Linked DNA regions of Caenorhabditis elegans. The gene in region 1 interacts genetically with each later gene. Each region holds a gene or a part of one and is shown in the gene's direction. Other genes may lie near its edges.

Region 1 (10,837 bases):
CGGTCTTTCGGTATTGTTGTAACTTATAGTTCTCATTTGTGTATGTATGTGTGTCTTTTTTAAATGACCACAACTTTCAAAGAACTTATATAAGTATATTCATTTCATGTGATCTGAAATTTTTAGACAATATGTCTTATTCTAAAACTAATTTACCAAGCAAGTTTTTTTTTTTAATTATCATTTTGAACTTCTCTCGTTTCATTGTAAATAAATGAGTTTCCATAATATAATTGTATTTCTCAGAGGAGATATTTGGAAAAGTTTCACTGGGAGATTTGATTATTTTATAACTATAGGACACTTCAAGCTGAACTTGAAGCTTCTCTTCGAAATATTTAAGTTATGCTCGAGCATGTGGCGGTGCAAAAGTACCCAAATCATAATTTAAGAGCTACCTGAATAATTATTTCTGTCCATACTAGGAGGACCAGACTCACCTGCGCGACTGTACTATTCGATATTATCATACATCCATAATATATCGGATGCATATCTTCTCGTCGTCGTCTCATTTTCTACGAATGGCAGAACAACCTTGGACCGATACAGTCTTCATGTCCTTTTCCACCGTCTTTGGCCCCCCGCGCAACTATGACTCTTTTCTCCTCTAAATTCTACCTGACGGGACGGGACGTCGTCAGATGGAGAATAGATGGAGGCGGAGAGACCGAGACATACATTTAGCCCAACCCGCCCCAGGTTCCCTCATCATCATTCTACTCGACAATCCTCTCCTCGTATTCATCTCTCTGTCTCTCTCTCTTTACCTCTATCGCATTACCTGGTTTTTTTGTATTGACCGGATTATGGATGATCATTTAAAAAATGAACGTTCAGCCTACTTTGTTTTTATTATTTAAAAAAAAATCGGTGTCCAGATGAAGTTGAAATCTCAAATTCCAAATCCCTTTGTTATCGTCATGAACATTCATTCTAGAGTCGGACTGTATTTTCAAAAATTTGATATTTTTAACCTTTTCCTTTAGTTCCGCATTGAGTTTAAATTTACAAAATATTACAGAAATTCTTCAAGTTTATAAGATCACTTTCCGCGACTAGAATAATCCTAATTGCTAAAATTTGTTTTACCAAAAGTTATTCAATAAACAAAACATTTTTTATTTCTCGCTCTCTACAGCTTTTTATTTATTAATCAATACTATGAACCGAAGTATAAAATGTTATGATTACTATTCTCTTTTCCTGAAATTGTTCCTGTAGTTGTTTGCATTTGCCAAACGCGTTCTTTCTTGCAATTGATTTATTGTATTGTATTGTCGTCTCCAGCCATACAAACATGACAAGTCCATACACATTCCCATAGATTCAATTCGCAACAAAAGGGAAGATCGTTGTGGTGGTGGTAGTGGTAATTGTAACGACAGAAGACATTGTCTAATTAGTTCCAGTCAACTGAACCAAAAAAGGACGGTAGCACTTTTTTTGCGGTGATTTGGATTTCTTTTTTTGCATTGGTTTTGATGTTATAAGTGTATGTACAAATAGTTTAGTTCTTAGTTCAACTAGTATTCAATTTGAACATTTTACTAAATTTGAAATTGCCAAGTTTGTATTTTAACCAATTATACTCAAAATTCCCTTTCAAACTTACCAAATTCGACAAATCACTCCAAAAATTAATTTTCTATATCCTTTTTTATCCTCTAGAAATGATACTCAACTTTTCAAAACTCAAAAACGTTTTCCTTGGTCATTATTCCTATATGAAACTCTTTAATGACTAAAACTGAATGACGTACCCACTTAAAATTCAATGAAGCAATTAATTGAATTTCTCCTTCTTTGTGAAAGTATATACAATTAATTTTGTAAACAGAAAACTTTTAGAATTTAAATACCATGTGCAAAAACTTTGAAATTTTCTTATCAGCAATCTCTATCGCAAAAAAATATTCTCACTTTTAAAACAAACATTGATAAGTTTATGCTTTTTGAATACTTTCTATAGTTTTCATCAGCTATAAAGTTCCATTATGCAAAAGGAAAAAAAGCTCAAATTTCGAAAGGCAAAAAACTAGGGAAATGTAATTCCTTACTCCTTCTGCTCCTCTTCTCATTTTCTCTCGCGTCTCTCTCACTCTATTTATGACATTTGCCACCCCTCTCCTGGGTTCTCCGGAGCACGGCGATGCTCCGTGTGCTCTTTTTTTATTTCCTCTCAACTGGCCTAGAATAATTTCTAGGCCATAGGTGAGAGTTTAAAGGTAGTACACGCATAAGCTAAAAACCCATCAATGAAGCAAAAAAGCTTCTAGTTTCTGACTGCCAAATTCTTGTTCCTCTATCTATATACCTCCCTCTCCCAGTTTGTATTTCTCATACGAAGGTCACTTTTAATTTTCTCTTTTTTCCCCATTTTCCCATCACTTTACCCCACCAACAGGTGGCATCTTTTCTCCTTTTTTCACATTTTCTCATTATCATTATCTTGTCAATAAGTTCCCCCATCCATTTTTTTTTTCTTTCAAATAATGCTTTTCTTATCAGTGTCCCATCCCCCAATCATTCCACCCCCAGTACCCTCCTTGTCTAGTTGTTTTTTCCTTCCTATTAAGGGAGTGTTGGTGGTCGTGTCATCTTGTCTTGTATCGAGGGAAAATACTTTTTGTCAGTAGTTATTTGTTTGTGAGTGTGTAATTTTGAAATGAACTGCGAACGGTTTCTCTAGTTCAATATTTTTTGTAATCACGCTATTTAAATTAATAACTATTGGTTTTATGGCAAAGTGATTCAATTTTTAAAATTTTCAGAAAATTTCTTGTACTTTAAGTGGCTTGAAAGCTCAACTGTATGGTTATGCTCTGTTAAAATTAAAATAAAAATGCAAAGAAACTGTAAGATCCTTTGGCCTATTTCGTTATTCCAAAAAGGCTTCATGGTACGGCAATTCAAATTGACAAACCGTTTCCCTTCTTTTGTTTAACTCTTTGTGAAGAGTTTCTATTAATTTTAATTACATTGTTCTTTCCAACTTGTATGCATGCGACAGTAGCCCTATTTTTTCCGAGCAGTTTCATCTCATTATCGTCTGGTAGTAAAGGATATGTTTCACACCCCCTTACTGATTTTCATCAACATATTTTGCTTTCTACTTCTTTGAAAACTAACTAGGCGTTAAAGCAAGGCCCAAAATTATATAGCTGGTAGGATGGTTAAGAGGCGATTGAGAAAAACCCATCACGTCTCAACCTGCTAGAATATCTAGAATTTACCCAAAAGCTCAAAAGCTCAGATCACGATTTTTTACATATTAAAAATTTCTTAAAATATTGTATTTTATAAACCAAATCCACTCTCCTATATATTTTCTAATCCTATAATAAGCTTCCCTTGTAACAGCCTGGTTTAATGATTAATTATGACGAAATACATGTATAAGGAGAATGTCATGTCCCATCTCAATCTCCTTTTGGTTCTCCCGCCAACCCGATTGGCTCCTTGTAGTTGGCTCTCGGCACACGACGTCTTGGTTGCTAGGCACCATTTCTCTACTTTCTCTCTTATTTCCTACCTTCCCTACATCTTCCGCTCAATTTATGTGCCTCCTCCGACACAACATTCGACATCGCCTCTTCGCTCCTCCCATCTTTTTGCCTTTTTTCCATCGTTTTTCATAGTCATCCATCCATCCCATCATCATGACGACGGACGATGATTCTCGTGTATATGACTCCACTTCTTTAGCACCTCCTTCCTTTTTAAATGTATTCCTATTTCTTTGTCGCCCCTTTTCACAAGTTTCCCCACCATTTCCAATCACATTTTGTTGCAGCCATAACGATTGAAAACAGCCGCAAACGGAAGATGGACGGCCCGAAGCCGAACCTGGCGTCGGCCGCTTCGATGGAGTCGTTGAACAGTGTTTCTTCTGAAGCAACGAATCCATCACAGGTCCGCACCTTGTTTGTTTCGGGTCTTCCAATGGATGCTAAGCCGCGTGAGCTTTATCTTCTGTTCCGTGGATGTCGTGGTTATGAGGGAGCTCTTTTGAAAATGACATCGAAGAATGGAAAACCAACGTCTCCAGTCGGATTTGTCACCTTTCTTTCGCAACAAGATGCGCAGGACGCCAGAAAAATGTTGCAAGGTAAATTTGTTTTCTTTACGTGTTGTCGAAAAATGTTCGATATACATACATTTCAGCAGTTTCTGCCATCTTTCTAGCTCAAATCTCCAACTTTCGTGTAACAAAATTAACGTTCAGCAGAGACTTGCGCTAGAATTTGCGCTTTTTTTCGAATTGGCATTGCTCCCATGTTACTAGAATTTGGCAGCTTATATCTCGTTTAACTTTGAGTTAATCAAAAATGCATTGGCATTGTGATTGAGAAGTTGTTGATATTTCAAAAAAACCAATCTAAATAAGATTAGTGAGAATATGACACAAATTCCTCTAATTGTAAGGTGCCTTTTTTGTTTTGAAATATTTATTTGTAAGATTCTAGCTAGATTTTCACCTGTTTCCTTTCCAGGTAGACCTGTTGACAGCTTTCCAACCAAAAGATTTCACACCACAGTAGGCATTTCTTGTCATTTTCTTTTTTGCCAATTAAAAAACCAATCAACATTGTTCCCACACACACACATACGACAACGAAATTCTTCAAATTTTCAGGTGTCCGATTCGATCCGGAATGTGCACAGGTACTTCGACTAGAACTTGCAAAATCGAACACAAAAGTAGCTCGACCTAAACAATCTCCACCACCACCACAACATGCGGCACTATCAGCCGCTGCAGCCGGAGTCCCGCAGTTTTTGGCACCAATGCAACACGATCTTCTACTAGATCCTCAATCAGCAGCTCTTTTCAATGAGCAACAACTATTGGCTCTTTCACTTCCACATTTACATGCTGCACAGGCACTTCAAGCAGCCTATATGCCAGCTTCTGCTCTACAACAATACAGTCAGAATCAATTGTTTGCAGCTGCTCAAATGCACCCAGCAGCCGCTGCAGCAGGTAAGAAATACTAATCACATTTTCTGGAAATTCCAGAAAATAATTTATAATTATTTTATTTCCCACAAGTCTCCCACAAACTAATTCCTTAATACACAATTAGTGATCACGATGGTTAAACTATAGCCACCGCACAATCACTATGTTCCACACATTCACAACTATCAAATCACTGTGTACACGCTATCCACTCACTGAAACTCTCACCATCACACATCACACTATTCTGAACTGTCTCGTAGTCCTTCTGTATCCCATTAGTTTCAAAATAGAGTCTCTCAGCTAACGGGGTTACTGTATGTTTGAGAAAAAAAACTTACTGTCATATGTCGGGATTTTGTTTTAAATATCACCAAATAATTCCAAAATATTTCTTAAAAACTTCTTAGAAAAAAATAGGAAAAGTTCAAGAAAATTCGATATGGAAAATTTAACCGCGTAGAAGGAAATTCGTTTTATAACCATTAAACTCATTTGAGAAATATTAAAGAAAAGTTGTGACGATATTTTTTCCGGAATTCATATCTCTACGGCTTTATTTTTTAAAATAAGCTCTTCCAATTTATGGCTGCCGGTTTACCTCAAAGTTTCTCCAGCTTAACCAAATAGTTTTGTATTCTTTATTTATTTTAGTAATTTGGAGCAATCTAGAACATAATCCTCGCAACTTCAACCCCGTTAGCTGTTTCTCTCTTTTTAAAAATTTCCAGACCTCCTATGACATAGCTATTTAAATTAGAGCCAAGAGAATTTTCAGCCAGCCTCCAACATTCTCAACAAGCATCTCAAGCTTCCACCTCTGCGTGCTCCACTCTTTTCGTCGCCAATCTATCGGCTGAAGTGAATGAAGATACTCTTCGGGGTGTATTCAAAGCATTCTCTGGTTTCACACGTCTACGACTGCACAACAAGAATGGATCATGTGTGGCGTTTGTTGAATATTCGGATCTTCAGAAAGCAACTCAAGCGATGATATCACTACAAGGATTCCAGATAACAGCCAACGATCGAGGTGGTCTTCGTATTGAATATGCTCGGAACAAGATGGCTGATGTGAATGGATAAGAAGAGAAGCAAGAATTCTTTGCAGTTTTGTGTATGTTGTATATCTCTTTTGAACAACCATTTCCTTTTTCTCTCTTTATCTTTTTTAGCACCCAAACTTGTAAAATTCATCCCCCTCACACACTTGCTATGTATCCTTGTGTATGTGACACTTAACACGTACGCGCACACCTAACAGGTATCCTTCTAGATTACTGTAGTTATCATCACACAGAGAAAGGGATTAGCTCAAACACTGTGATAATGAGTTTTTAAAACGAGTAACCCAACTGTGATGCCAAAACAGAAATGTGATAATTCAACGCCTGCATAATTAAATTATAAAATGCTTGACAAAAATAATAATAACTATTAATAATAATAATAATACCCGAAAGCCTTTCAACTGCCCCTCCGACAATCCACTCTCATTTTAAAATCAAACGGGTCAGAGACAAATCCTTACAATTTCAGTTTGGGAAGCGCACCACCATCACCAAATGCACAATCATCACTCAGCAACTACTACTTCTACTTCTTCTTCTTCTTCCTGTGCACAACCACCACCACCTCCACCAACGTACACCCGCTCTCATTACACTTAGTGCATTTTCGTCCTTTTTTCATTTTACTCTCCCAAAAAATCACCAAAAATCCTTTCGGATCTCTTTTTATTCGCATTTTATTTTCCTTTCTCTTAATTTTTACAAAATTCGAAGTGTTTGTAAGCACCCTACAGGAACTTCTATTGTCTTGACCGTAGAGCTCCTTTGCATCATATCTTTTCTATTTCTGATTTACTCTCTGTAAATATATATCACGAGAGCTTATCCACCTGTCTGTCTGTCCGAACCTGAAATTTTCTGTGATTTGTTCTAATTTTTCATAAGATCCTTTTTCCCCTTTTACCACCAATCATCATGCATTCCAGTCTCTCTTCTGTTGTAATTTGAAAAAGCTTTTGTAATAAATTTATACACTTTATTGGTTGGTTTCGTTGTGAATTGTTGTGATTTCAATAAGCCGTAAGCAAGTGAGAAAAAAGCGAGTTGGTGAATGGAATGAAGTAGGAAGTTTTGGAATTTGGAAAGCTCGGGAAATATGTTACAGATTTCAAAGAAAATATGCAATAATGGCAAAATGTGATAAAACAAAGACTTGATTGAGAGATTACAACAATCATAGGAATCATGGGATGACAAAAGCACCTATATGAATGAATAATTATTATGATGTGGATGTTGTAGTAGATCTTGATGTATTTGGAGCATCTGACTGAGATGTTGATGTCTCTATTTCCTGTAGCGTCTTCTGCAAAAATTCGATCCGTTTGTCCTTCCAGTCGACCTCGAACCGAAGGCTGTCAATGTCACGCTGTAAAAATCAACTTTTAAAAACTGGCGGTGCGAGTCGGCGCGCAAGAAGGAAGTGTCCAAGTATGTATATATGCAAATAATCCTCGATCCCCCTCCACCACCACACACTCCGGAAATGCATTGAGAGTGTTGAGAAGGTCTTATTTGTGTGCATGACTTTGGATGGAGAATCGAGGAGAAGGTGGCAGCAGTCAAGGGATGTTGAGGTCTTTTTCGTTTCAATGAACCATACCATAATCGGACAGGAAGTTTCGTGTCAACGATATTTCAAGAAAAAAGGAAACTACTAGTGTGATGATTCCGGGGATTTTTTTTTTGAGGAACTAATGCATTCATTTTTTTTTCAAAATTTTCTTTCTAAAATGGTTCGGTAATTAGGAAATTAGGTAGACGGAACTTTTGGGATTGAACAAAAACTATCAAATGATTAAATTTTTTAAGCCACTGAAATGTATATTACTATGTTCCACATTCTACATAGATGCCACTTCAAAATACTTGGTTACTGTAGCTCAAACTTGACATGTCTGTGTTATTAACCTAGTTGGCGCCGTCCTTCGAAGACATGAACATGAAAGTTGTGTAATAAACCAAAAATTATCCACTCTTTTTCTCTCTTTCCTTTCCTTCTTGATTTACAATAAAAACTACTACGCTCTCTCGACATATTTGTGAATTGTTGAGCATAAAGGAATCGAAAATCGCCGAGTATTGTCCGTGTATTCAATTGACACGGGTGGAACAGAGAAGGAGTCTGAGTGAGTGATTGAAAGAGAAGAAAGATCATTAGGTACCAAGTACCTTGTGCTCATACGATTGACATTGTTGGCTCATCCACTTCACGCAATACTAGAAAGAGACGGAGAACACGGGTTACACACGGACATTCCCCAATTTTGACAATCATACAGATTTTGTAGAAAGAAATTTCGAAATCAGGGGTTTGATTTGAAATAGAAGAATAGTAGTGAAACTTCCAACACGACCATGTGTCGATTTACGCAGCTTGTGTACTACTCGAGGAGAAGTGTGAGAAGTACACGAGCTGCGTAAATCGACACAGAGCCGGGTTGGAGCTTTCACGGTCATTCTTTTTTTCATGGGGTCTTAAAGCCCATAATATTACCCAGACGAGAAATTTTGCGCTAAAGATACGGTATCGAATCGACAAATTTTTTTTCAAATGCATAAAGGTGTACACCTTTAAAGGGTACTGTAACTTCAAGCTTTTGTTGCTGCCTAATTTTCATTAATTTTTCAATGTTTCTAAATTACAGTACCTTTTAAAGACGCACACCTTTTTTGTAATCAACCGTATTTTTAGCTTAAAAATCGAAAAATATCGCGTCTGGATAAGATGTATACTTCTAGGAAAAAACAAAGATTTCCATGATCTATCTCGTTAACCAATTTTGAAAAAGCGCACTTGAAATACTTTCCCGTTGAATACTTAAAGCTTTCAAAAAAACTGACGTTCCGTTCGTTTTTCAAACATTTTCCTCTCATCTTTACCCTCTTTTACTATTTTTCTAGGTCATCCGAGGTGTAATTAGACGGCAGTCAAAGAGGTATTTCTGTTTGTATGTGCGTGCAAACTTATATTGCCACCTATTGTAAATCCTCTACTTCTTCCGAAGTTTTTTGTCCCCCTTTCCCTGCCTACCACCTATTTTCAATTGTTCAGGTCACGGGCCACTTTAGCCCAACAATATGAGTAACTGACAGAGAAAAGTGAGTTCAAAGGGGCCAAGACCAAGTACCTGTTGAAATTCACAAATCTTCTCGAGACGAGAACAACGAACGTCGGTTTTTCGAAGTTGTTTTTGAAGTTGAAGAAGGGATTGTTGAAGAACACCTTCTTCGCCTGATGACGTGGCAGGCGTGGCATCTTCTGATTGATTTTCGTAATCGTCTTCAGGATTCATAGAAAACCTATAATATACAAGATTTCTTTCATAAACATTTTTTAGAATCGGCTCACTCTGCTCTTCGAGGTGTTGAACAATCGGCCTCAAGCTCATAATGAAGTGGGAGACTTGTCGGTTTCTCCAGTTGCTCCTTATTTGATTTAGCATTCCAGCCGAAAACCATCGGATTGTCGGAAACTGCAGCGATCTGAAAGTTAAATAATTTGAAATGTAGCATATTTCAAGTAGTTCATGAAAAAACCCGTTTATTTTTGAAAAATTATACTGACCAAAAATTTAGTGTAAAAAATGAACTGAAAAATTCCAGATGGAAATTTCTCAAATTTTTAAATTAGCCTATTCAAAGTATTTACCTCAAAAATATGTCTTGTTTCAAAGTCTTATTATTAGAGAAACACACTTCCTTCACTTTTGAGAAACCTGACAAAACTAAAAATGTGTAACTCTATAGAGAAAGCTCAACGTACTACTATAGACTTCTCCTTCTTTTTACGGACCACACATAAACGCACCATTGGACGATTTAATTGGCTTTGGGGTCACTTTTCAACGCAAAAAACTGGAAGTGAGCAAAAGGGAAGAAATTGTGAGAATGTCCAGTGAAATCCGGAGAAATCACGAGATTCGGGGCACGAGATAAACTCACAAGAGGCGAGAGGATGGAGAAGAAGCTCAGCTGTATATGGGGTCCCATCTATCATGTGTTTTACTCTTCCCCCTCTTGTCATACAATAAAACAGAAACAAAGAGAAGAAACTAAGAGAAACTATGAAATAGCTGTTGTTGGTAGAAGAGGACTTCTGTGTGAAGTGTGAGGATTTTAAGTTTTTGAGAGAAATATTTTTTGTTGATGTTTGAAGTGTTATTTGAAAAGACATGTTTATGAAAATAAACATTTTTTGAAAGTAAAAACTTTTTTATGAGGAATGGGTTTTCAGAAGACACATAAACAAAGATCTACTTGAATCTTAACTAACTAAGGAATCCCTCGCTAAATTATAGAATTAGTTATATGATTTCAGAAAGCTAATTTAATGATAAATTACCAATTCAAATTGAGACAAAACTATTTTTGACTGAATGATATTTTCATTAGAAAAACGTTTTTTTTTGCAAATTTCAACACAAAAGATAAGGTAACCGATTTTGACACGATGCGCCTTGAAAGGCTACTGTAATTTCAACCTCTTTTTGCTGCGGGACTTTCATTGAATTTGTACTTTTTAGTTCAAAAAAAAATCCTGTGTATTTAAAAACTCAAAATCGTGAAAAATATGAATAATCTATACATACTTAACAACTCCGATAATTTGAAATTACAGTACTCTTTAAAGGCACACACCCTTTTGTAGTTAACAAAAAATTGTCGTGATTTTTTTTGTTGCAAGAATTTTGTTTAAAAAATAGTTTGAAACCGTCGTCGTCTCGAAGCAAATGCTCGAAAAAGAAGGATTTTATATCAAATTTCAGATGGAATTCAGATGGGAAATGAGATGCCTGAA
Region 2 (12,997 bases), on another chromosome or scaffold:
AAATTTCTTCAAGTTTCTTTTTTGTTTAACAAGTTTTCCATGGCATAAATTCTCGTAGAACCCAATTTGTCTCTACCTAACTTTTCAGTGCAAACCTAGATCTCAAATATTTGTTACCTAGACCACCTGAATTCATGTGTATTGCGCTCTGCGTCTCGTAACACTTGTTTCCATAGTGAACGTCTAGTTGACTTCTTCATTGTTGTTCACCTCTCCAATTCTTTAAAACAACTCTTGTTATAAACCGATACTTATGTTTTCTGGAGGGTTTCTTTCTTTATTCTACATGTTGCCTGGTGATGTCGCTAAGTGACTTTCTATCTCTTACACATCAACTGAAATATTTCACACCAAGCGGATTTTTCCTAGAAAATCTCATTTTATCATTTTCATTACATTCTCATTCTCCTCCTCTTCTCATCTGCTCATTGTCGTGGGTTTCATTACTTTGATTTCAAAATTTTTTGTGTTCCTTGCCAACGATTTTTCCTTTCAATTCCACATGTGTCGATGAATGTGTATTAGTTTTGTCGTTCGTTTCCCCCACTCATTTTCCGTAATTTTTTTTATATTCTCGCCGACGTTACCACCGCCCGTTCTCGCCTCTTTGTCGAATTGTCAGTGTTGAATCATCTGCCAAACTGATTTTTACATTAATTCTTTAGTGTTAAATAACAGAAACTTGTTCCTAGAATTATGTCACAATACGTCAAAGAGTAACTTACTTTTAGTAACTAAATTTGGGTATGATTTTTTTGGTATGAATTTCTGAGACCGGGTACCGTATCATTGAGACTAAAACCACGAGATCAGTTTATTTTGGCACATGTGCCAGTAAAACCAAGTCTATAAGTGTTTTTTCACCAGTTTCATTTTTTCAGACGCTAGATAATCCCACAGACTGTCATCCAATACATTATGTGTGTCATATAATCAACCATAATAACAACCGAAATTCGTCTCTTTTTCCCCTATTTCAAATCATGTGCGGGGGAATGTTGTGGTGTAGATGGATGGAAAAATCTAGTTTTGCATTTCATTTCATTTCTATCATCATCATCATCATCCTCATTATCTTCTACTTTTCCGTGTGTGGTCACACACAGTTCTCACTGTCTTTCTCTCTCTACCTCTCTAATTCTCTCTGTCTCTCTCTCATAACCAATATCTATATGTTTTATATGAAATCCGTATGGTTGGTGGGAGGTAGATCAAAGTTTTTATGACGAGCGAACGATATCCACCACTTATTCGCATTCGTTTATATTCACTTATACCCATTCCACTTATCCAACTTTTATTGTTTATTGGACCTTTGGAGGGGTAACAACTAGATTGCTTATGATACAGAGTCGCTACTCAGTCAGTTTACATATAAGTTGGTTATAGATCATTTTTCCATGGTTGAATAGAACTTTTATCGTTTTTAGTAGTTTTACTTCCTCAGAAACCAATAAAAATATTTCAAAAAATGACCCTTTCCGGCGTTTGGGAGCAATTTTATATCTGTTTCTAATAACCTTGCCAGATTGACAGAAATTTGCTCCTAAATACCGTGTTGTCATGGAGATAAGGAACTATCCTACCCTTTATGTTTAAAATCATTATCATATGCATTTCATATTAAAAGTTCCTACTGGCAATTTGTATCAGTTAAAAAATCTAAATCCGATCGTGATCTCCTTCTTCTAAAGTCAAGTTTTGCAGTAAACTTTCGAAAATATCCTCCATTGACCGTGCTTTGAACTTTACAGTCTTTGAATCCGTGATTTGTGAAATCGAAAACCCCTAAATCCGAAATTCCCGAAAAGTCCAAAATCGCAAGGGTTAAATGTAGTTTGAAGTACTTAGTAGTCATTTATCTCAAACCAAAAGTCCAAATGGAAGGGCCATACCTAATTATTGGGAACGGATCGAAGGCATGAAATACTGTATCCTGTAAAAGGGCCTGAGCAATTATGAATCTCGCCGACGCGGGGGTACGTACTCTCATCCGGCCGCCCTCTCCTCTGCACCACTTTTCACACAACAATATGGGGGCCACCCCCCTCTACCTAACTAACACATAATTGAGTCCCCCTCTCTACCTATTCAGGTTTTGTTGTTCATTCAACTGTGCGTGTCGTGTGTATTTGTATGGGGTGGGACGAGAGGCGGTGAAGAAGAGGACTAATGGAAAACCACAATTGAAGAGTGCGTTTCATCGTCGATCACCGTTTCTATGGTAGTTATTTTGAGATGACAATGATGTCGATTTTTTTTATTGTTTCCTAGCATTCCATAGTGACCAATTGCCAAAGTTTTGTGCTTAGACAGGTTTTGGGATATTCTCAAGATCAGCGGAATCCTTTTTTTTTGTTGCAAAATTGCAGAAGCATTTGGATATTTTCTTGACTAGATGGTGCAAACTTGCGATGGAGTGTTTCCAGTTCAAGAAAACTGGAATCGGAGCAAGTAACAGGGTTACTGTAGAATGGTTGATGGTATTCTATAGGTTTATTTAACTCGTTCTTTCGTAGCCCCTACGTTTCTTTAAAAATTCAAACTTCCCAGAGCCACAAAATTTCCACCGGGCTTCACGTATTCCCTCTTACCGAACACCTATTCAAATACGTGTCATCTTCAATCCTTTTCCCCTATATCCTTCACTAACCAGGTCAGTCATGTTTGATCAACCATTGTTTCCACACCTGCCCTCACAAAAATCCTCAATCATGATGCGCTCTTATTCTTTTTTCTATGATGTTGGAAATTATGAAATTCAGCTTTCACACTGTATTCTTGTAATGTCTGGACCCTCACTATACACTTATTCAAGCCGTAATTGGCGTGTATACGTATCCATATAATGTGTCAAGTTCACCTGTTTCCTTCATTTCCGTCTGAGCACATGATCCAAAATCTTATACAACTGAATTCCTTTATATAGATTGTGGAAAGTTTCCTGCAATTTCTAGTAGTTCTTGTTTCCTAGTCTTTCGGCTTCTTATCTGCCTTTTTAAAACTTTACCTACCTCATAATCCGTACAGTTCCCATTTTACCTGTTACACACATACACAGGTATTTAGAAACTAAGCATCATACCAGCAATAATAAAAACAATAAATGTTCTTTTCATTGGCAATGAGATATATTCATGCGTCTATGTAAACCAATAACAAAGCTAATTAGAATTGAAAACAACAGGGAATTGAGTGGCAGAGTATAGGTATGTCATGCTGTGCGCTGCCATAATTCTGCAGCTTCAGTTGAGTGGAGTAGGATTGTGAAAAATCATGGTGTACAACTAGTTCTGTAAAGTTTCACTGATATTAAACGTTTTCCATTTACTTTTATTTCACTTCTATTTTTCTTGCTCTCTGATATGTTTTTTTAAATTAATTATCAAACCTATGAAATTACAGATCCATCTCCCCTAGTCTCGGCCGGCCCAAAACGAACGGAGCATATACGGGGAGCCGCGGCACACAAACATACACAAAATATAAATAGGCCACGCCCATTTGTGCATATTTCTACATATATCCTCGCGACGGGCCCCCCGCCCCCCTGAGCCCCTTTTCCTCTTCCTTCTCTTTGCTCTCACAACAACCGGAGCTCTTTCTTTTTGAAAAGAGCCCTCTTTTGTTTCCTGACAGACCAAGTGGAAGAAGTGGTGGTGTGTCAACTTCAGAAGACAACGAACGACGCATTTTTGGATAGGAAATTCGAATTTTTGAATTCCAAAATTCGGTCTTCAAAATGACGATGGAAGCGTTGCTAACACCGAATAACAACAATGTTCCGACGAGTCCCGTTCAGGTAATTTTTTTTTTCAATTTTTATTAGGAAAGATCTATATGAAAGTCCAGAAGCAGTAGAAAAAAAAAACAAAAATAAATACGGTTTTCAAAATCTTTGAACATTGAGGTCTACAAAAAGTCCAGAAATCTACTCGACTGTAACATTTCATATTTTGGTTGCCTAAGATTTTATCAACAAAAATTCAACTAATAAAATATAGAACCATAGCAAAGATACACATTTTAAAAGTAGAACAGTAAACTGCGGTAATTTTGAAGAGCTGTAAGTTTGTTACAGGTTCTAACTGTGAATGGTTTTTTTATTAGTTAAATTAAAAGTTTAAAAAAAGCTTTTAGAACCTGATCATGACAGTTGTTTAAAATTCGGACTAGGTAAACTGGATGCTTAGGCTCCGTTCAGATCTAAAAGCTAAACAAATTGTTGAGCCTTGAATTCTAGTAATAACCATAAATCTGAATATTGTTTCTTCCCCAATGTCCAATCCGTCAGTGAGCCCGAGTCCAAACTTGGTATACATGCGTGTGCATTTGACGTGTCATTCTTTCAAGAAAGCTTCCCAATTCCCAAATGCCAATTTTTCAAAATCCGAGAAGCCTTCTTCCTTACTCTTCTTCTCTTTTCTCCGCCTTTCCGAACCACTCCTTTTCGAAAATACGTCCCATTCATTACGCCTTGAGGGAGGAATGAGGGAGGAATAAGGACCAAAAATAAAAATATTTGTTTTGTGAAAGAGCTCAGAAGCTCAGATTCCTGCGTGCTCATCCACCTATATTATGATGATGTGTTGTGGTGTTGGTGGATGGGAGTGGAAATGACATGAAAATTAAAATATGGAGAGAAAAATTGAAAAATAACAAGAGAATACTAGATTTTTAGATTTCCTGTTGAAAATTGTTTTCTTTTTTTCTAAAAAGTTTTTTGATTATTGAAAAAATATAGCTGAATTAACAATATCATAATTGTGCAATATATGACTAATGAAATTGGTAGAAACGAAGTTTTTTTTTTAATTTAAATTTCTAGAGGTACTATATATATGGAATATTCTAAAACTCAGCGATTTTCTTCAGTTTTTTTGAAGTGTTTCTTCAAAAAATTGATAGAAGACCTATAAATTAAAATTTAAAAACTTTTAAAATTTTGTGAAAATTCAATTCGAAATCTACTAGAATTTATATCACAGTTTTGCTAAATTACGTTCCTCCTCAATACCGGACGGTTCAAAATTTTATTTCTATAAAACGCATATGGAACTCTTTAATCAAAGATCCTATAAAAAACTCTTAAAGTCTATTCATTCCAACAGCGTAGAAAAAAACGTTTGCATATATTTCATTTCATACATTATTCCCTCTCAAATACCCATGGGTATTGTTGCTCTTCCAGTGAGCACACCAGGAGGTGGGAAGAACATGCGGGGGGCTCCATCTCTTCCATATAGACTTGCTCACGCACAGGAAATTTGAGACGTGGCCAAATAATGGACAGCGAAATGGATGAATTCTCCGGTTACTTGTACCGAAGAGCCCTCCCGCGCGCGAGAAAAGAATTGAAATTGAAAATTGAGATCTCCCGGTGGAATGAAAGATTGGAAATCATAGGGGAAATATTTTTGGGTCAGATGTAACCTCCAAAAATGGAATATATAGTCAGATTGGACAAAGATGGCAGAAAAACATAATAATTTATTTATTCCCAAATGAAAAAAATGAACAATTTCCGGGGTTACCGACGCTTCTCACCAATGCTAGGCACCCGAAAATATACGAGGTGTATTATTTATGTAAATTGACAAAAACGGGACTTCTATCTAGGGAGTTCAGAATTTTTTACATCTGAAAATCGTAGATTTTCATTCGAAAAACCGGGACCATTATACAAAAATCGCTTTTAAATTTTAAATTTATATTTTTTGCAGACAACCTACACAAGTACACAACGATACTGCTCCGCGCCAAATGTGGATATTGGAGAATCAAAAACAAATTTAATTATCAATTATCTGCCACAAGGAATGACACAAGAAGAAGTTCGGTCCCTTTTCACATCGATCGGAGAAATTGAATCTTGTAAATTGGTCAGAGATAAAGTAACAGGTGAGGAGGAACTTCTATATTATTCATTATTTTATTTTAAACTTATATATTTTCGAAATCCAAACATTATCTAGCTAGATCACCCCTTGCCTTATCATTTTTATTTCTGACTGATTTTTGATTCCCAACCACGAATTGAGTTGCTCTAACCGTTTTTTGTGTCTCGCCGAAAAAGTTTAGCATGAAACTAGATTTTGACGCCTCTTTTCTGATAGATCACAAATAATTTTATTTTCTTCTTTCGGATCGATTTTTGTAAATCTGTACATGTGTGCGTGTGTGATTGCTGCTGCCCCGCCCGCCCTACTCCCCCTAAAGTTTTTCATTTTTCGGTTATTACTTTTTTCCGTGATGTTCTGATATTCGTTTCAACTTTTCATTATTTTTTTCAAAATCACTCACACACACACACAATTGTACACCAAGAATTCACATTCACTTTTTGTGCTAAACATTTTTGAATAGGGATTGTTAAAATTCTAAAGTTGTGATATCTAAATACTTTTTTGGAATAGTTTCATACCATTAAATCATGTGAACTAATTTAGAATAAGCAGCAAACTGTTTGTAGCAAAAAGATGTAGGGAGATTATTTTTCAGAAAGAGAGCTCTACAAATACAATCAGAAAATCTAAACCCGTAACCTATAAATAATTGTTCTTTTGTTATATTTTCACACTCTTTCTCTCTCTTCTCTCTTCGGCATTTGGTGTTTTTTCATTTCAGGACAGTCCCTTGGTTACGGTTTTGTTAATTACGTCCGAGAAGAGGATGCTCTTCGTGCAGTCAGCTCATTCAATGGCCTACGATTGCAGAATAAGACGATCAAGGTGTCAACTTTTTTTTTTTTTTTTCGGAAAAATATTATTATTTTTAGTTGATTTACATGCTACTTGTCTTTTACTTTACTTTCACTCTTTTTTATTTTCAAAAAAAGTTTTTAATTTTTCAATTGTTTGGGTGTTCCTTTGACTATTAGAAAACACCCCCTTGCTCCTGTTGTGCAATTTTTGTTTTAAGTTTTCAATCTTTTTATTTTAATATTTTAATTTCAAAATTTAATTTCAACTTTAATTTCGCGAAACCCCTTTCCCGATTTATAATGATTTTAGCTTCTAAATGTGTGTCTAAACGTCCGTTAAACGTCTCACGTCTTTCAAACAATCACTAATAGGAGCAATAGATGTGCACAAAACGCTTAGAAAATGTTTAATTATATTTTTACTTGAAAATTCGCATTCTTCATATATGTAAAAGAAAAACATTCACTGGTAAAAATACAAAGTTAAATTTTAGAATATTAAAATTGTAATCTATAACTTGAAATTTTCAGGTATCATATGCCCGTCCATCAAATGATCAAATCAAAGGTTCAAACTTATATGTTTCTGGAATTCCAAAATCGATGACTCTGCACGAATTGGAATCGATTTTTCGGCCATTTGGACAGATTATCACATCTCGAATATTGTCAGATAATGTAACTGGTGTGTTTTTAAAATTATGTGAAATGTGTAAATTTTCAAAATTAAGAAAAATATAGTTGATTGTTTACGGAATATAATTTGTTTCATTTTTTATTAGAGCTATTTCAGGACTCTCAAAAGGCGTTGGATTTGTACGTTTCGACAAAAAAGACGAAGCTGATGTTGCAATTAAAACACTAAATGGAAGTATTCCATCAGGATGTTCAGAGCAAATCACAGTGAAATTCGCAAATAATCCAGCAAGTAACAATCCGAAAGGACTGCTGAGTGATCTGGAAGCCGTACAGCAAGCCGCCACAACACTGGTACCATTGAGCACAATTCTTGGAGCACCGACGCTGAGAGCAACTGCTGGAGGAATCGGACCGATGCACCATGCTCCAATTACTTCAAAGTACAGGTAAGCCCGAAGAAATCTTGATTGATAATAATTGTATTTTCAAGTTTGTATATTCTTCTTTTTACATTTTCAAGACCAATTTCCAATATTTCAGATATTCCCCAATGGGCGCCATCACTGCAGTATCCCAGCCAACCGCTACACTTCCTGCTGACTATTTGACAACTTCTGCGCTTCTTCAGATGTCTCAGTTGAATGCTCTTGCTGGCCTGAACCCTTTTGCCACAGCAACAGCCGTACCTGATTTCACAGCTTCATTAATAGCGCATCAGCAACAACAACACGCAGTTGCTCAACAACATGCTGCACAAACAGCGAGCCCTCCGGCAACAAATGGACAAGTTGCTGGATTAGCAGCTCATGCTCAGTTATCTGCATTGTCAGCTTCAGTTGCTGCCACGTTACCGCCATCAGATACTGCTGGATATTGCCTTTTCGTATATAATCTTTCATCAGATACTGATGATACACTGTTATGGCAGTTATTCTCACAGTTTGGAGCAATTGTTAATGTTAAGGTAAGCAAGAAATTTTAAATGGAAAATTTTTTACTTGAAATATTTGAGATTCTACGAGACCTGACACAACAGTGCAAAGGATATGCATTTGTATCGATGAGCAACTACACAGAAGCCTATAATGCAATGCTTTCTCTGAATGGCACAAATTTGGCTGGAAAGACGCTTCAAGTAGTTTTCAAGTCATCAACTCCATATCGAGCTTAAACTTTTTTGCAAAAATATTCTAATTTCAATCATTCCAGTCACTTGTCTCCCATTCTCTTTTCATTTTCTTCTTCTTCCCCAACCAAAGAAATTGTGATTTTCCCCCTCTGAAATTCCAGTCACTTTTTGTGTGCTACTAGTCACCCCCCCCCCCCCCCCATTGTGTTCCATCCCCTTTCATGAGCAACTGTGAGCAAAACCAATCGAATTCCGGTAACGAAATAAGCCACGCCCCTTGAGAATAATGAGCTTCTGCCCACCCCTGTCCCAAAACCTTGAATCAGCTTTAACATCTTCAAAACTTTTATCAATTTTACCTAAAATATGCCAAATCCTCCGTCACTTTTCAGTATTTCGTACAGTTTTCTGATTTTTATACTGGGTTCCTTGTTTTTCTTTTACAAAGATTTTTTGAAATATTAAAACTAAAATGTGTATAATAAAAATTGTATACCAATTTCAGTGATAAATAATTTATTTTATAGAAAAAAGAAGAACAAAGCTGATGATTAAAACTGAACTCGATTTTCTGATTGGAAGAACTTGTACCAATCGATGATATGAGATGTTAAAAACTGGAATTGATATTTAACCGATTGAACCTGAATGAAAAACAACGGACCTGAAAATTAAATTATTATTTTAAATTGACATTTTGAAAATTTCCCCCGTAATTTTATTGCAATTTTAATTGAAAGTTTATTAATTGTGAAATGTGCTTTTTAAGATGTTGCAAACACCTAATTACTATTTTCACTTTTGAGATATGTTAATTTCTAAATAACTTTTTTTTAATTTCCTAATTTTAATTTTCAAAAGTCAAAATAACAAACGAATTTTATAAAAGAAAAAAGAGCAAACTTACCTGTTAACTTACATTCCCTTCCTATTCATCAAATAAATTTTTCCGTTGGAATAACTTTTGAATCTTTCTGGGTGGACTGACTTCCGGCATTGTTTGTTGGTATCGCGATTTTTTGACAGGAGTTCTTGGTGGAGAGAAGACTTCATACTCGTCTTCATCATCTTCTAGATCGAAATTCAGCTTACTCACAAATGGTGTCTTTTTTTCAGCATTTTCAAAATGGTCAAGAAAATCGATAGATGAGCAAGATGATTCCCGTGATCCTAATGGACTTTCTGTTGTGAGATAGGATATCGGTTGAAATTGCGACTCCTGTAAAGTAAGATGTAATATTTTATGGGATTAAATTTTGAAATATACTAACCGAAGGAATATGTTCAACTTCTTGTTTCCTTATTCTTAGCTTCTCTTTCACTACATGATTCTTCATTAATTCAGAGCAAGTTGGTCTTCGTGTCGGGGCTTTGTCCATCATTTGTTTCACCAATTCTCGAAGTTCATCTGACATTGGTTCCAATATTTCTTCTGGAATTTCCCATTTTCTAATTGGTTCCCATCCTGTCCCATAACTCGGTAGATGAATGTTGGTTCCTACTTCCAGAATCGATATTCCAAATGAAAATATATCACTGAAGATTGAGAGAGTACCATTGATTGCTTCTTTGGAACAGTACTTTCCATCGCCTTCTGATTGATAATGTTTATTTGAAGAATTATTGATTGGTTCCTGTAATATTTATGTGCATTTTTAAATTATTTACAAAACATACCGATCTCATGTCCGAAATTAATCCGAAATCTCCGAGTTTACAAACTTTGTTCTTTGTCATAAATATATTGTCTGGTTTGATATCGTTGTGAAGCATGAAGTTATTATGTAAATGTCCCAATCCTTGTAAAATATCCAAGAACACATTCCAAAGCTCCTTGTCTTCCAGCCAATCAATTCCATGGCAATATGCCGCCAAACTTTTATCGCACATTTCCAATTGAATATGAAGAATTTGTTTGTCTATCCATGCTTGGTGGAATCTCACAATATTTGGGTGACATGGAATATTCATGTGTCCATATGCTTCGCGATATTGATCTTTTGAAAGTTTTGAAAATGGAATTTTTTTGATTGCAAACTTCTTTGAAGTTGAACGACATGTTGCTGCAACGACTTCTCCAAATGAGCCTTTCCCAAGATTTTTATCAAAATTGAATGCGTGGTCGAAAAATGAATCCGATTTTGATCGTTTATATAAGGGGCTCCCAATAATTTTACTTCCTGAAAACAAAAAAAATTTAGTAACATGCTAAAATTGTCAGCAAACAAACACTAAAATATTACAAAAAGATAAAATACTTACCAGTTGGTGTGATAATTTGGGCACTATCTTTATTTTCCTCAGCTCTTCTAAAAATACTTGGTAGACTTTTTCGAGCTTTATTTATAGGTGGCGGTCTTTTTTTATTGTTTGATTGATTCTTCTTCGTGGTGACTTCCAGTTTTCGGCTGGTATTTAGTTTGTTCGGCTCGTCTTTAGACTCAGCTACATATTCATTTCGTCGGAGAATGTATGTATCCAGTTTTTCGATGTTACTCAAAACTGAGTTCATGTTAAACTGAAAAAGAAGTAAGCGATGGAAAATTTTAAATAAATAATGAAAGAAGAAAACGGAAACAGCAGTAAAATAGACACAAGTAACAAAAATAAAATGAAGAAATAATGAAAGAGTAAGCATGTGAGCTCAACGGGGGGCGGACGAGTTGGTTGTAAGTGGGTGGAGCCTCTCATCATTGGGAGGTGCCAAGTTTGTGAGCTGCCATAAATTGGAAGATGGGCCGGGTACCAAGTTTGCAAGGTCTTTGGCCCAGCCGGATAAAGAACACCGAAAACGTATACTTTAGACAAAATTACAGAAGTCGCCGACTGATTAAATCAAAAAGTATACTTTCAATATTACGCTAGTTGTATGTATATTTTCTAGAAATATCTCTGATGGAAAAAATAAGAAAGAACACATTCAAATATTACGAAGAGTTTTGAACTTTATGAACTCACAATCAGTCAAAATGTTTCAAACAATTAGCAGAAATTAACTCTGTGCATTGTCAGTTTATTCTAAAGAAACTTGCCAAACCCTGCCAGCTCGTATTCACGATGCACTTGATGAAAATTTTATTTGTATAAAAAAATTTGAAGGTACCAAGTTTCTGATCTGATGTGAGCCGGAACATGCAATATGCACCAAGTTTGTGAATTCTTTGCGCCAACCGCAAACAGAACCATGAAAACGTATACTATAAATTATGTTCAAGAAGTCACCGACAAAACTGAAAAAGTATATTCTCTTTGTAGATACTACCCGCATCAATTTCTCCATAATGTGGCCACAATATGACTGATTTCTGCAGATCTTTTAAATGTGTAGTTTCAAAAAAATTGATCATCAGCAATTATGTATTTATCACAGAGTTTATCAAATTTTGGAAAAAAACCCGTAGGTCGCCATAGAAATGCCTAGAAATCCTAATTAAAACGAAATGAATGAATGCATGAATCAATTGTTTTTCTTTCCCCTTGAAACAATTTTAGGAACTCCCCGAACTCCGTTCACCACTGAACGAATCGTTCGGAAAACTGTCCGAATTGTGTAATAAATAATTGAAAGAGTACAGAAAATGACAAAGAAGAAGAAGGCAATGACATCAACGAGGAAATATTGAAGAAAATTCAAATGATCTGCTCCACTTCTAGCGTGTGGAACTTCCTGGTGCCGTTCGATGAATTCAACCCAAAACGCAGCGTGATAAAGTTCAGTGTATGGAACATCGATGACCATATCTTGGAAGATTAACATTTCCTTCTTGTATCTGAAAACAATTATTTGAATTTGAACGTTCTGAATTTTCCGTTTTTGAAATCAAACTAAATGTACTCACTTCTCATTTTCAATCACTTCATTAATAGCGGCAGTCAATATTTCCCCACTGAACTCCGATTTCTCCACCATGACTCCACTATCTCGTGCAGTGATTCTCAGTAAATTATCATAACCACGAGAAGTCAATGGTACTCCAACAACTGGAACTCCGTGATAAACTGATTCAATGACACTGTTCAATCCTCCATGTGACACGTGGCATCGGCACTTTTGATGACCTAGTAGGTCTTGAAGTGGAAGCCATGGCTTGACGAGTAGATTTGATGGCAAGTTTGAAGAATTTGGTAGACCAGTTTGCCAAATGAACAAGAGATTTGGAAGATACTTGAAGGTATCCAGATAGGCTTGACGAATGTGCTCCGGAGATTTGTTCCATTGAACAGTGAACCCAGTGGAGAGCACAACGAAACCGTCAGGATAGGCTGAGATCCAAGAGGTAAACTCCTGGAATTTAAGCAGATATTATAATTTTTTAAATAAGTTTTTAAAATTTGAAACCTTCGGAAGTTCTTTTGGTTTTCTGCATTGGATGGCTCCGATGAAATTTACACGTGGCATGTATGGTCTTGAGAAGTCAAAAATAGGAGGGGTATTCACGAAGTTTATAGATGCGTTGCGCTCAATTTCGAAAGTAGACTCGACTCCTGGGTAGTATTTCTGAATTTCACTTTGTCTTAAGAGTTTG

What was found.
Region 2: changes in mec-8 (region 1) and exc-7 are lethal when combined (synthetic lethality), as found in Caenorhabditis elegans (one study listed by BioGRID).

What each region holds. Positions count from the first base shown.
Region 1 is NC_003279.8:9,437,187-9,448,023, reverse strand, and holds mec-8 (RRM domain-containing protein), read left to right. Parts: upstream 1-3,796; 5' UTR 3,797-3,828; coding exon 3,829-4,111; intron 4,112-4,639; coding exon 4,640-4,987; intron 4,988-5,225; exon of another isoform or gene 5,226-5,340; intron 5,341-5,744; coding exon 5,745-6,052; 3' UTR 6,053-6,083; intron 6,084-6,505; 3' UTR 6,506-7,014; downstream 7,015-10,837. Other genes in the region: C17E4.10 (PRKC apoptosis WT1 regulator protein), read right to left, coding at 7,259-7,405, 9,168-9,339, 9,389-9,522.
Region 2 is NC_003280.10:9,572,566-9,585,562, forward strand, and holds exc-7 (RRM domain-containing protein), read left to right. Parts: upstream 1-3,405; 5' UTR 3,406-3,742; coding exon 3,743-3,802; intron 3,803-5,723; coding exon 5,724-5,901; intron 5,902-6,627; coding exon 6,628-6,731; intron 6,732-7,234; coding exon 7,235-7,388; intron 7,389-7,496; coding exon 7,497-7,788; intron 7,789-7,882; coding exon 7,883-8,306; intron 8,307-8,354; coding exon 8,355-8,513; 3' UTR 8,514-8,970; downstream 8,971-12,997. Other genes in the region: Membrane-associated tyrosine- and threonine-specific cdc2-inhibitory kinase wee-1.1, read right to left, coding at 9,400-9,690, 9,743-10,105, 10,149-10,651, 10,734-10,983; Putative UDP-glucuronosyltransferase ugt-58, read right to left, coding at 11,929-12,241, 12,311-12,756, 12,811-12,969.